Linked DNA regions of Drosophila melanogaster. Changing the gene in region 1 together with any one later gene gives a genetic interaction. Each region holds a gene or a part of one and is shown on either strand. Other genes may lie near its edges.

Region 1 (6,702 bases):
TCAACGTGTCCATGTACCCACCTGCGTCACGTTATTTACATTATCATCGCATTATATCCCTAGGATTAGGTTAGTTTTAAACTTAATGGCTGCATATGTGCTACATCTAAGACCCGTTCTTGTTGCTGCTAAAGTTGTAGGCGAAACTGAAAAGAATGGAATTTTAGAAGGCCCTATTTATCAAATTAATTCGAATTCAAAACCTCATACTAATCGGACCATAATATTCTAACTTCTTTATCAAAAATATACCCAAAAGATTGGAAAATGCCCAGTGTAAATGATCTAATGAGGGAACATCTTTTAATCAAAACCACATTTTTATGACGGTACTTTTAGTAGTGCAAACAATTCTAAATTGTCAAGACCTTGTCCGTTTACATTTGATTCACTTATTGGAGAAATGAAGGCTTGCAGGCGCAAGGTTATCTTGAATTCTGCATAAGATAATGCGAAACCCTTCAAGCGGAACTCCTCGTCTTTCTTCCCCTTCCCACGATTGATTTTTCACAAGCGCAAAAAACACCCACGCACATCTCGGGAATTTGTGGCCTTCGATTTGTCCCTGATGAACAGTTAGGCGGAGAGTGGAAAACCGATCGACACTTGTTTACAATCGCAAAATAGTAATAAATAGAGAAAAGCCGTTTTCAAGTTTGCCATAACAACAACTTCAGTGTGACGCTGGCTGGCTGAACTGGGTAGGGGCGGTGTGGGACGCGGACGGCTGTCCTTATGCGGTAACACTTAAAATGAAGTTACGTTCGTGTGTGTGCCGCCAGGCTGTCTACGCTCCCATTCGAGAAAACCGTTGCTTTTACATACATACATGCACAAGTGTAAGGCTCTGCGGGTGGTGTAGTGCAGGGGGATGGGAGAAGCGGGTGGTAGGCCTTAACTAACATAAGATGGCCACACTTTCACGAATCGATCTTTCGTTCATAAAATGCTACAACTACACTACAGCCCATTCACACACATTCACTTAAAAAAATTGAATTATCCAAGCTCACACAATCGCACGCGAGTACCCACAGGTGTAGCTGAACTTTTTCAACGGTTACCACGATTAGCCGCTTTCTTTAGACACAAAACTCATACATTCTTTGCACGTCAAAATCGAAATAATTGTGATAAAAGCAAAAACAATATATAAAACGAAACGAAATGAGATTCTATTTTTAAAAGGTGCACTCACACACGCGCGTACGTTTGGCAGTGAAATGTGTGAGGGAGAGGGGGCGAGCCAGGGTAGTAGTAAAACAGTGCCGAGATTGTGCGCGCGAGCGATGTAGCACTATTGGCTACACGGTCACACACACACACACAGGCGCCAGGCAGCGTACGAATTACGCAAAGTGAAATATCTTTCTCAAAATGGAAAGTGGAAAAGTGACGACGACGGCTATTAGGAATTTTTCATACATCCACGGAACACAAAAAATGTACAAAGGCAAATGCGTATATAAAGTGTATAAATTCATACTAAGATAGAAAACAAATGGGCGAGGGGATGGGTGGCGAAGGTGAAAATTTGACCGCAAAACGAACATCACGAGGCGAACGAGGTCGCGCTGCCGAAAGTCCCGTCTCTTAATGATATCCCACAAATTTTAACGCCAGCCAAGCGACATCATCGTTTTGCACCGCAAAAGGGCCTTTTTCCGGTCGAATTAAAGCAATTTTTTTTTGCACAACACAGAACTCACTTTTTAATCCTATTTTTTTTGCTAGTGTGGCCGCACGCCGAAACGAAGTCACCGTCACTAGATTTTGAAGATAGGTTAACTGTTCTTCGATAACTATCGAAGAACTATGCCTGATGCATGTATGGTTGGTGTACTTGCTAACAGATGAGCAGAGGCCTTCTTAATGTTCCATTTACACAGAATTCCATCATATGGGATTTGAAAAATATGCTTCAAACTTAATAGTTTTTGCACAAAACGCCAATCGAATTATATTTCCAGTTCCAGGGAAAAGATTTCTGGGTGGAAATAAACACACAACTTTCAATTCTTAATTAGACTAAAGTCAAGCCTAGAATATTATATATTACAGTTCAATATAATTTAATACAGAATTTTGTTTTAAATAAATAGTATTTTGTTTATCTGGTATATAACAATGATTTTGCACAAGGTATTTCTTATAGCTATCTGCGCGGTCACACTGTTTTTGTGTGAAAATTCTGTCGAAAAGAATGTATTAAAAGTTCTTTGAATACTAATTCCGTGTAATTCCGACCGTGCTGTTTCAGAAAACTGTGGTTGGATTGGAAACTTAACCAAATTATAAGGTAAAACCGGGGCAGCTTGCCCATCGAAGGACCGCCACAAACGAATTTTCGCGTCGCATTACGTTTTAGTGTTGCCACCTTATACGGAGTGCCGGGCACAATTCCACTTGCTGGCCAAACGGATGCGTTGCGGTCGCGATGTGCACGCCGTTGAATTAATTCCTTCGCCCTGTTGATTGAGTACAGTTCGACTTCTCCGATCGGTGTCCTCCAGACCTAAATTTCGCCGGAATAACGACGGCAAACGGACGGACGGACTCTAGTCGGAAAACGGGCGAGCTGGCAATACTGCCAGTGCACAAAATGATGTGAATCTCGGAAAAGAGGAAAGCTACAGGAAAAGCCAAGGAAAAGCAAGCCGGTAAAGTGTGCAAATGCGAGTGGCAAGCAAAGACCTTTGTTTCCCATTCCATGAAGTTTTCTTGAGTTGTCCGCTGCTGTGAGTGGTCATTATCAGCCATCATCATCATTGTCGTCATCATCACCAAAGGAGCTCGTCGTCATTAGGCCGGCCACCAGCTAAACGGCATTGAGAAAACTCAGCAGCACCTTGTCATCCAAGTCTTGATCTTCGTCTTGGTCTGGATATCCGTATCCAATCACACAGTTCAGGTGGGTTCTTGATCCAGACTCCGAATTCGAATACGAGTCCTAGATTCTCATGCTGATCCTTTTCCATATCTACAGTTATGTCCTCGACCGCCGGAAAGCGCAAGGAGATCTACAAATATCTCGCGCCATGGCCACTGTACTCCATGAACTGGAGTGTAAGGCCGGACAAGCGATTCCGGCTCGCACTGGGCAGCTTCATCGAGGAGTACAACAACAAGGTACAGATCATCAGCCTGGACGAGGACACCAGCGAATTTAGTGCTAAGAGGTATACCGAATATTTGTTTAGCTGATCCCTTCTACTTTCTGTTTTCATTTTATATTTCGTATATTATCTTTAAAAAATAATATAAAATGATAAGCAGTTTTGATATTATTGTAATCATTTTAAATATGAATAGTTATTTGGTTATACGAACCATTTTTCCGAAATCCCCTTCCTCACTGACAGATTATTTCTTCTTCAAATAGCACCTTTGATCATCCATATCCGACAACCAAGATCATGTGGATCCCGGACTCCAAGGGTGTCTATCCGGATCTGTTGGCCACCAGTGGCGACTACTTGCGGGTGTGGCGTGCCGGGGAACCGGACACGCGGCTCGAGTGCGTACTGAATAACAACAAGAACAGCGACTTTTGCGCTCCCCTCACTTCGTTTGATTGGAACGAGGTGGATCCCAATCTGGTGGGAACCTCATCGATAGACACAACCTGCACTATCTGGGGACTGGAGACCGGACAGCCGCACGCTCGCGTCTATGTGGCAGGACACGTGAAGACGCAATTGATTGCCCATGACAAGGAAGTATACGACATTGCTTTTTCGCGGGCCGGCGGCGGTCGGGACATGTTTGCCTCGGTGGGAGCGGACGGGTCGGTGCGCATGTTTGATCTGCGGCACTTGGAGCACTCGACCATTATATATGAGGTAAGTAGAACGCGCGAAAACACAAAAACGGATGACTACATAACGATAAATCCAATAGGATCCTGCTCATACGGCGCTGCTGCGCTTGGCCTGGAACAAACAGGACCCGAACTACTTAGCCACCGTTGCCATGGACTCGTGCGAAGTAATAATTTTAGATGTTCGTGTTCCTTGTACACCCGTTGCAAGACTGAGCAATCACAGAGCGTGCGTCAACGGTATTGCGTGGGCGCCGCATAGGTGAGACTATAAGATTCCTTAAACCTAAAATGTGCCTAAACAATTTGTATTTTGGTTTGCAGTTCCTGTCACATCTGCACTGCCGGTGATGATCACCAAGCACTGATCTGGGATATACAACAAATGCCACGTGCAATCGAGGATCCAATTTTAGCCTATACAGCTGCCGAGGGCGAAGTCAATCAGATTCAGTGGGGTGCCACACAGCCCGACTGGATAGCCATTTGCTATAACAAAGCGTGCGAGATCCTGCGGGTCTAAGTAATTTTTTTTGGTCTGGTCCTTGCTGAAGCACCTGACTGCAATTGCTGAACAACGCACAGTCAACAAAGAAGCAAGTCAGAAAAACACACAACACCCACAAATAAACATACATTTGCTGTTGGTAACTTGGAAGCGGAAAGCAGTGAGCTTAAGTTGGATTAGTTCTGTCAACACGCGTCCGCAGTTTGTTTAATTTTACTGTCTGTCGAGAGAGAGAAAATGTGAAAGTGACGGATATAGAGGCAGAGAAATGGAAAGAGAAAGGGCTTAAAAGAAAGATATGAGTTTGAGGGAAAGAGAAGAGGACGAAGCACTTATTCTAGAATTCTTAGCTGAGTTGATCTAACAAGTATGTAATTATATAAGGTATAACCAAAATATGTTTTATAATTGTAGTTTATTTCACACTTGACAAATCCCGACACTCACACCCCCGAAAACTCCAATCAATTAGAGCCGCTTAATCTTTTTTATTTCGTTTTTATACGAACCCAAATGGAATGCAGAAGAAAAAGAAATCATATTTATTATAACACAATGTCCTACCTCGTTTTTTCAAACATGAATGCTGTTAATCGAGTTTTCGAGTCTGGTCAAAACAGCAACAACCACAAAAATACACAGAGAACAAAAAATGAGAGGTAAAAAAGTAGCCGGCAACAACGCTTTTTCGAAATATTTTTACTTTGTTCGATTTTTGTAACAGATCCAAAAAACGGAAAAACGACAAAAACAAGAGATAAAGAAAAACAAAAGCAAAACCATGGACTTAAGCAATTGCAAAACAAACATAATATGAAATGAATTAAAGAAATAAGCGAAATACTTACATAGATTAAAGATTAAAAACCAAACCAGGAAACTGATGACGAACTGCACACAACACAGCTAGAATACAATACTATTTAAAGATACAAACTAAAAGATAAAACAAATACCGAAATATATGAGCGAGAGAGAATACAAGATTGTTGCTATATCCATTTAACAAACGAGCGAAAATAAGCAAACAAACTATGATCATTTCAGATAAGACACGACCCTCCATCAATAATCTCAAATCTTAACCACATCCCATACTTTCCACAGGACAAAGCGACTTTTTCAGATAAAATCGAATACATTTTTTTTATGTATCTTGTAATTTATAGCAATTTCACAACTTATATATAAATATGTATACAGAAAGCGATAGCAGTAATAATAATCCCGATGATCGTGTATTGTAAATACAGCATGAAAGGCATATTTTAAACGAAAACCAACTTAGGCCCTGATTTTGTATAGCCATTTAAGAGGCCACTTCACGGGAATTTATATCCTCATATCCGAATACTTTTTCGTTTGCTGCAGAAGAGTAAGAAACTGAAATCAAGTCTATGGAATTTGGAATTGGATATATTTTATACGCTCGTAGCCACTAGGCGAAGACATTTTCATTAATTTGGCAAACCACGGTTTCCGTAAAAAAAATAATCGAAAAAAAACCAAGTTAGAATATAATTTTTAATTTAATCTTTATTTTCGTGTGCCCTGTTTTGCATTATCCGACTTACGTTACATTTATATATGAAATGTATATGTACACAAACACACACACACACACACACACACACTCAAGCGCATATATATATGAGCATCCGATCGGGCTAAAGTATTTACTAGAAAGCTAATGATTGATCGATGGAATGGATGGATCACAAAAACCAAACAAAACAAAAGATCACTGAGGAGTTTGAGAAAACAAACCAAATCAGACAAATATTTAAATAAACCATTTTTAAATAATGAACACAGTCTCAAATTAAATCGGGAAGATCTTCGGGTGCACAAATGTTGCTGATGTCCACTACTCCTCCGTGAAACGCTTCCTCCGGTTTCCCATCTTTTTTTCCTGCATCAAAAGGGGCGGCAGGGCTACATGAAAAGGTAGCTAGGATTTGTGGTTCATGATATACAATGAACTGGATGAACTTACCTTTTAGTCGGGCTTTTCTTGGCTATCAGCAGCTCGTTAACTTTTAGCTTCTTAAGATTGACCACAAGGTGACCTGTAATCTGGGAACGCTGCACAGTGGACTCATCCGGCTTGACCTCCTCGCTGTACGCGATCTGGAAGATCTTTTTTTTGACGGTGACTCTAGTGTATGTGGTCTGCACATCGACGTCAATTAGAGAGGTATCCAGGTGTCTGGGCGAAGGAATATACATATGCAATATTAATTAAGAATTTTGAAGTGTATGTATATGATTGGGGCGTAGAAACGATCAAGCAATACCAATATCGATATACATATGTAATATGTTGGTGATAACTTGTAAGATATGTATAAGTTTGGTTAAGACATCTTAGCCT
Region 2 (5,046 bases), 4.6 Mb from region 1:
TACCTTTCGAGAATAAATCAGTTCAATATTACTGCTTTCGATGGCAGTGCCATGTTCTGCAATAATTCCACGCAAATGGGGCATATCACCGATAATAATAATTAGTATCAGGATCAGGTGCTATTTTAAATAATGGCCAGATTTCGAACAGCTAATTTGGGCTGCCTTTCCCCACCATTTCCACCGCTTTTCCTGCTCAGGCGAGGAATGCAACAATGTCACTGCATTCATTCAGTAAATAATATGTCCAACTGTTTGCTTATCACTCAACCGTCACCGTCTGTATTTGTTCCAATCCGCACTGTTTTGAAAAACCCGTAAGTCTATGCGGGACTTCCCCATTATTTGCCAAATATGTCGAGACTTTAGTATCCGATTAGCTGGCGCCGCCATCTGTTCATAAAGTTGTCAAGTGGTGGGTAATAGTAGTATTACAGTCGCAGTCACGTCACGATGTGAGTCACCTGCTCCGGATGCAATTATCGATGGTGTGTGATTGTTGGTAGTGGCCCTATCCCCCCCCCCCCCCTCATTCCTCGCCCAAAATGCAAGTGGCCAAAAAGGTGGCGGGGAGCGAACGCAAAATGTCGTCAACTATTTTTATTTTCGGCCGAGAGACGCGACAGACAAACAACGAACATGAGAACTTTGGGGCAAAGATCCCACATTGCGAACGGAGGATCGGATCGGATCGGATCGGATGGGATCCCTATAAATAGAGGGACTGGTGGCTATGCTCCTGCGAATCTTTCGAGGGGCCCCGAACGCATTAATTATTCAACTCTTCCATCGATTGGCAAGCGTTCAATTTGTTTATTATAAAAGCAAAATATTTTTTAATTGCTTTGGCGAAATGGAAAACACAAATTAGCTTGGCGTGTAGACAGACATTTACATAACTCGAAAGAACACAAGTTTATAATTATTTCAAAATCGTTTGGCATTACTGGGCATTTTAGTTTCGAAAACGATTTCCTATTTTTATGGCCCACTCTGCCAAGTGGCAGCTCAACCAGTTATACAGTTTTGTAACGCACTGCATTATGTACACACACTTTTTGCCTGGGGTTAATTACATTTTATTTTAATTTCACATTTCGTTTGCTTTGTTTTGATTTCCTTGACTTGCCGACGACGCAAAAGCCGAAACAAAGAAATGCATACTTACATATGTATGTATGTATGTATGTATGTATATTTGTATCTTTGCGCGCACGAGACAAGTGCGAGCACTTTCCCACCCACAACCACCCAGCGTTCCCCCATTTACCCCACATGCATTCGCTACATGTCACTACGCTACATGTCATTATTGAAATGCCATTATCAACGAAAAGCGGAACTCCCTCTGTCAAAAAAAACACTTGTGATAGAAAACAAAAGGCCAGCCAGAAGTGAGCTTTTCACCAACAATAATGGGGGAGAATACCTAAGAAAACCGATTTATTCGTTTGTGGTTAATCACAAGCAAGTGCAAGTAACTCTGTGATCAATATGGAGATACTGAAAGGTATTTACCCAACACTGTTTCAATCAGTTGAGCTTCTTCAACACCAGAGATGTGCACTCCGAAACAAAGGTCGAAAGGTATGGATTTGACCAAGAGATATCACCAAGAGATTTTTCTATTTCCCATTTACTCAAATGCAATTGTGCAACACTGAACGAGTCTAGTGTAGTGTTAATATAGCGAATTCCGATGCCAGATAGCCGGGCATTCCCTACTTTAGCTTCATGATCATTACCACGCCGAGATCGTGATGATCGTTGCTGCAATCTCGCTATCGGCGCTCGGCTTCGTTCGTGTGTTCCGCATAAGTGCAGCAAAAAAGTGCAAAAACACCAAGTGAAATAAAAGAGCAGGGAGAAAACACGGTTCCGTATAAATAAAACAGACGACAACAACAACAACAACGACGAGTGGCAAACTTTGGGGACAGAACTGGGGGAACAAAAACCGAGGCAGTTTGCGCTGAATTTTCACACGAAACAGACCGCGCTTCATACAGCCAGATCCAAATGGATCTTAAATTACTTAAATAAACTATATAAAAATAAACGAAATAAGCATATCATTTTGATTGAAAAAAGGAAGCGGTTAGTGCAAAGTGCGTTCGCGATTCCGATTGCGATTCCGATTGCCAGTGATATGTCGACGGCCCTGGTTTATTGGCAGTCAATGAATGGCGGCGATCCGGTTGACAAGGCCACCGCGGATTGGGCGCCATTCGTGGTTGGTGCAGCAGCTGGTGGCAGCTTCAGTAGCAGCATCATCACCAGCAGCAGCAGCAGCTTGAACCACCATCCGCACAACGGCCACCACAATCACCATCATCCGCCTCATTACATCAATTATTTGGCGCAAATTGGCTGCCAGCATCGTGTCAGAAATTGGCCAACAAATGGCAATCAGGATCAGGCGGATGACGACGACGCTGGCCATCAGATCATCTCTAAATTCCTGCCCAAAAGTGCCTGGGACACGGTGCTGTTGGATGTGAAGCGGGATGTAGATGAAGATGGAGATAGAGATAGAGATCGGGTCGATGGCAATGTGCTGATGGTTCAGGGATCGTCATCATCATCATCGAGAATGAAGGCGGAACGGGCACTCTATTATACTAGTAAGCCCATTGGATGAAACAGAGAAGTTGGCCTAGAAAAATTTGTTGCATGTCAGTTTAACTGACCGACAACTTTTTTTTTTGCGTTTGCACAATTAGTCAACGAATAGAAAGGAAAAGTATCTTTGCTCTCGCCACATGTTTTTTTGGAAATTAGAAATGGAGTGTTGGAATATCAAATGTCGCGGATTATCATCGAAAACACAGCTGCTGCCACTTACAGGTTTTACCCTGTTGCTTGATTTTTTCATTCTTGTTTATAACGTTGGGTCTATTTTTGTTGCACAAGCCATCAGCGAACGAAGAGCGAAGAGCAACAAAACAAAAAGAGTGAGCATGTGAAATGGTCATAGGAACGTGGGGAAATAGAATCTACAAACGGCAGAATTATGTATCTGCGCCTGCATATTGTGTAATAATTTCAGTTCAGTTCCGTCTGGTTCTAAAATTAAGGTAGAGCTTCTTTTTTACTTACCTCTGCTGGCCTGCCAATGCACAGGAAAAAAATATTGCTAGCAAAAGTAGATTCTTCGGAAAGGAAGAGAAATGTTCCAATTCGTTTTTTTTTATATGGCAGCATCATGTGCTTACTATCTTTAACTCACTAGTATGACCACCAATTCAACAACTAATTTTAGAACGAATTTTGCATCTTGAGTTAAAAAAAGAATGCATGACTCTGGGCTGGCTCTATATCAGATCTTAAATGGGAATTGGCAGTGTTTTTCCTGCGGTGTGTGTCCACACTTTTCGCCCTACCCTTTGCTTTTATTATCGTTTTGGCAACTCTTGACGCTGACGTAGTCAGGTGTGCAAGAAAACAGGTGCATTTTGCAGAGGAGCGGTGTCCGAGCGATCCGGTCAATGAACCAGCACAGAACGGCGCACAACGAAGGCGGCAAGCAAATACATCGCAATAATTATATATACACACATATATATTTGTATAATTCCCGCCGATATCTGATAGTATCTCTGATCTCTTCCTTTCTCTTACGCTCTAGTGTCCGCTTATGGGTCCAGCGGCGGCAGCGTCGACGCAGCGCAGGGCAGCGGAAGCGGGGGCGGAAGACAGCGCCACGCCCCACTCTACGGGCGATTCGTCGACGCAGAGGATCTGCCTGCCACGCACCGGGATGTCATGCACCATGTGAGTATTATCAACTAGCATTATCCTTATCTTCAATCCAAAACATGCATTTACACACAAAGGACATGCAGAAGTTGTGTTTCTTTCTTTTAGAAATTGTAGAACATTTTTTGTTTAGAAAAAATCCACAAATATTTCAACGGAGCCGTGTAAAAGATAACTTTACTTCGTTGAATATGAACTTACTTTTTCCCATGCTCTACTTAAATTAAAACATGCAATTAGAAAGGTTTATGGCGCATTTGAGAAAGCCGCGCCCTCGGAAGAACAAAGAATGGTATTTTTCAGGACTGGTTTTGCCTTTCTCAATGCGGCCATTAAGACTGCGTATTTATGTTAATAACGAAGCTTAGCAAGTACATTAATAATGTTGTTTTAAGAAATTAAAGAGATTGTGTTCAAAATAAAAATGATTTGATCTGAGCACGATCTGAGCCAAAGCTAGCTGGGCATCACTTTATTGAACAGTTTGAGTAATACGTTCTCCATCTCATTCCACAGCACTCTAGTCCCTCGTCTTCGTCGGAGGTGCGCGCCATGCAGGCCCGGATTCCCAACCACTTTCGGGAGCCCGCCTCGGGACCTTTGCGCAAGCTGAGTGTCGATCTGATAAAGACCTACAAGCACATCAACGAGGTGAGTGTGGCCCATAACTGGCGTTTAATCTGGTTAATCTACAAGCAAAACATATGAGAACCAATTGATAATTGGATATTTGATCATAAAATCCTATGTTTATCGTGGCAATATTGAGTTTGGATCATGTTTACCAGGTTCTCTTGTCGTTACAATGCACATAACTTTTCTGTTTTCATTTGCATTAGTAAATAGTGATTCTATTGATATTTTAGCTTGGCAAGATTCCATATCATTTCAAAAAGTATATTCTATCTAGTTTATGTAACTGTCTACCTTATCAATTACCATTGCGATGATGTTGTTCTTGTAGTCTGCAAAACTACGAAGGAACCTTGGCATCCATCCATCCCGATTTCTTTCTTCTTTTTTTTTTATTTACGCTTATATGTCGATCGGAATTTCGTCGGGGGCTTTTCTCGTCTTGTGGCTTTCTTTTTTCGGCTGTCTGACTATCTGCTGACAGCGGATATTTGTGGCGTTGAGCTGGGCTAAAGATACGTTTGTCCTTGACCCGTTCGTGGGGTCAATTCCCCCAACAGCGTCACCGTTCCCCCGCAGCCAGCCATTTGCAGTTGGCTTCGATTGACGTCGTCTGCCGCCTCGGTTGACAACAGCCGAAAAAAAATAAATAAA

What was found.
Region 2: of wap (region 1) and mnb, changing one suppresses a phenotype caused by changing the other (phenotypic suppression), as found in Drosophila melanogaster (one study listed by BioGRID).

What each region holds. Positions count from the first base shown.
Region 1 is NC_004354.4:22,450,871-22,457,572, reverse strand, and holds wap (wings apart), read left to right. Parts: upstream 1-2,150; 5' UTR 2,151-2,299; exon of another isoform or gene 2,300-2,513; 5' UTR 2,514-2,911; intron 2,912-2,986; 5' UTR 2,987-2,988; coding exon 2,989-3,179; intron 3,180-3,382; coding exon 3,383-3,842; intron 3,843-3,900; coding exon 3,901-4,082; intron 4,083-4,144; coding exon 4,145-4,343; 3' UTR 4,344-6,128; downstream 6,129-6,702. Other genes in the region: tilB (touch insensitive larva B), read right to left, coding at 6,146-6,263, 6,325-6,537.
Region 2 is NC_004354.4:17,871,983-17,877,028, reverse strand, and holds the start of mnb (minibrain), read left to right. Parts: upstream 1-1,988; 5' UTR 1,989-2,149; coding exon 2,150-2,624; intron 2,625-3,628; coding exon 3,629-3,774; intron 3,775-4,275; coding exon 4,276-4,410; intron 4,411-5,046. UniProt on the Drosophila melanogaster protein: Role in the specific control of proper proliferation of optic lobe neuronal progeny.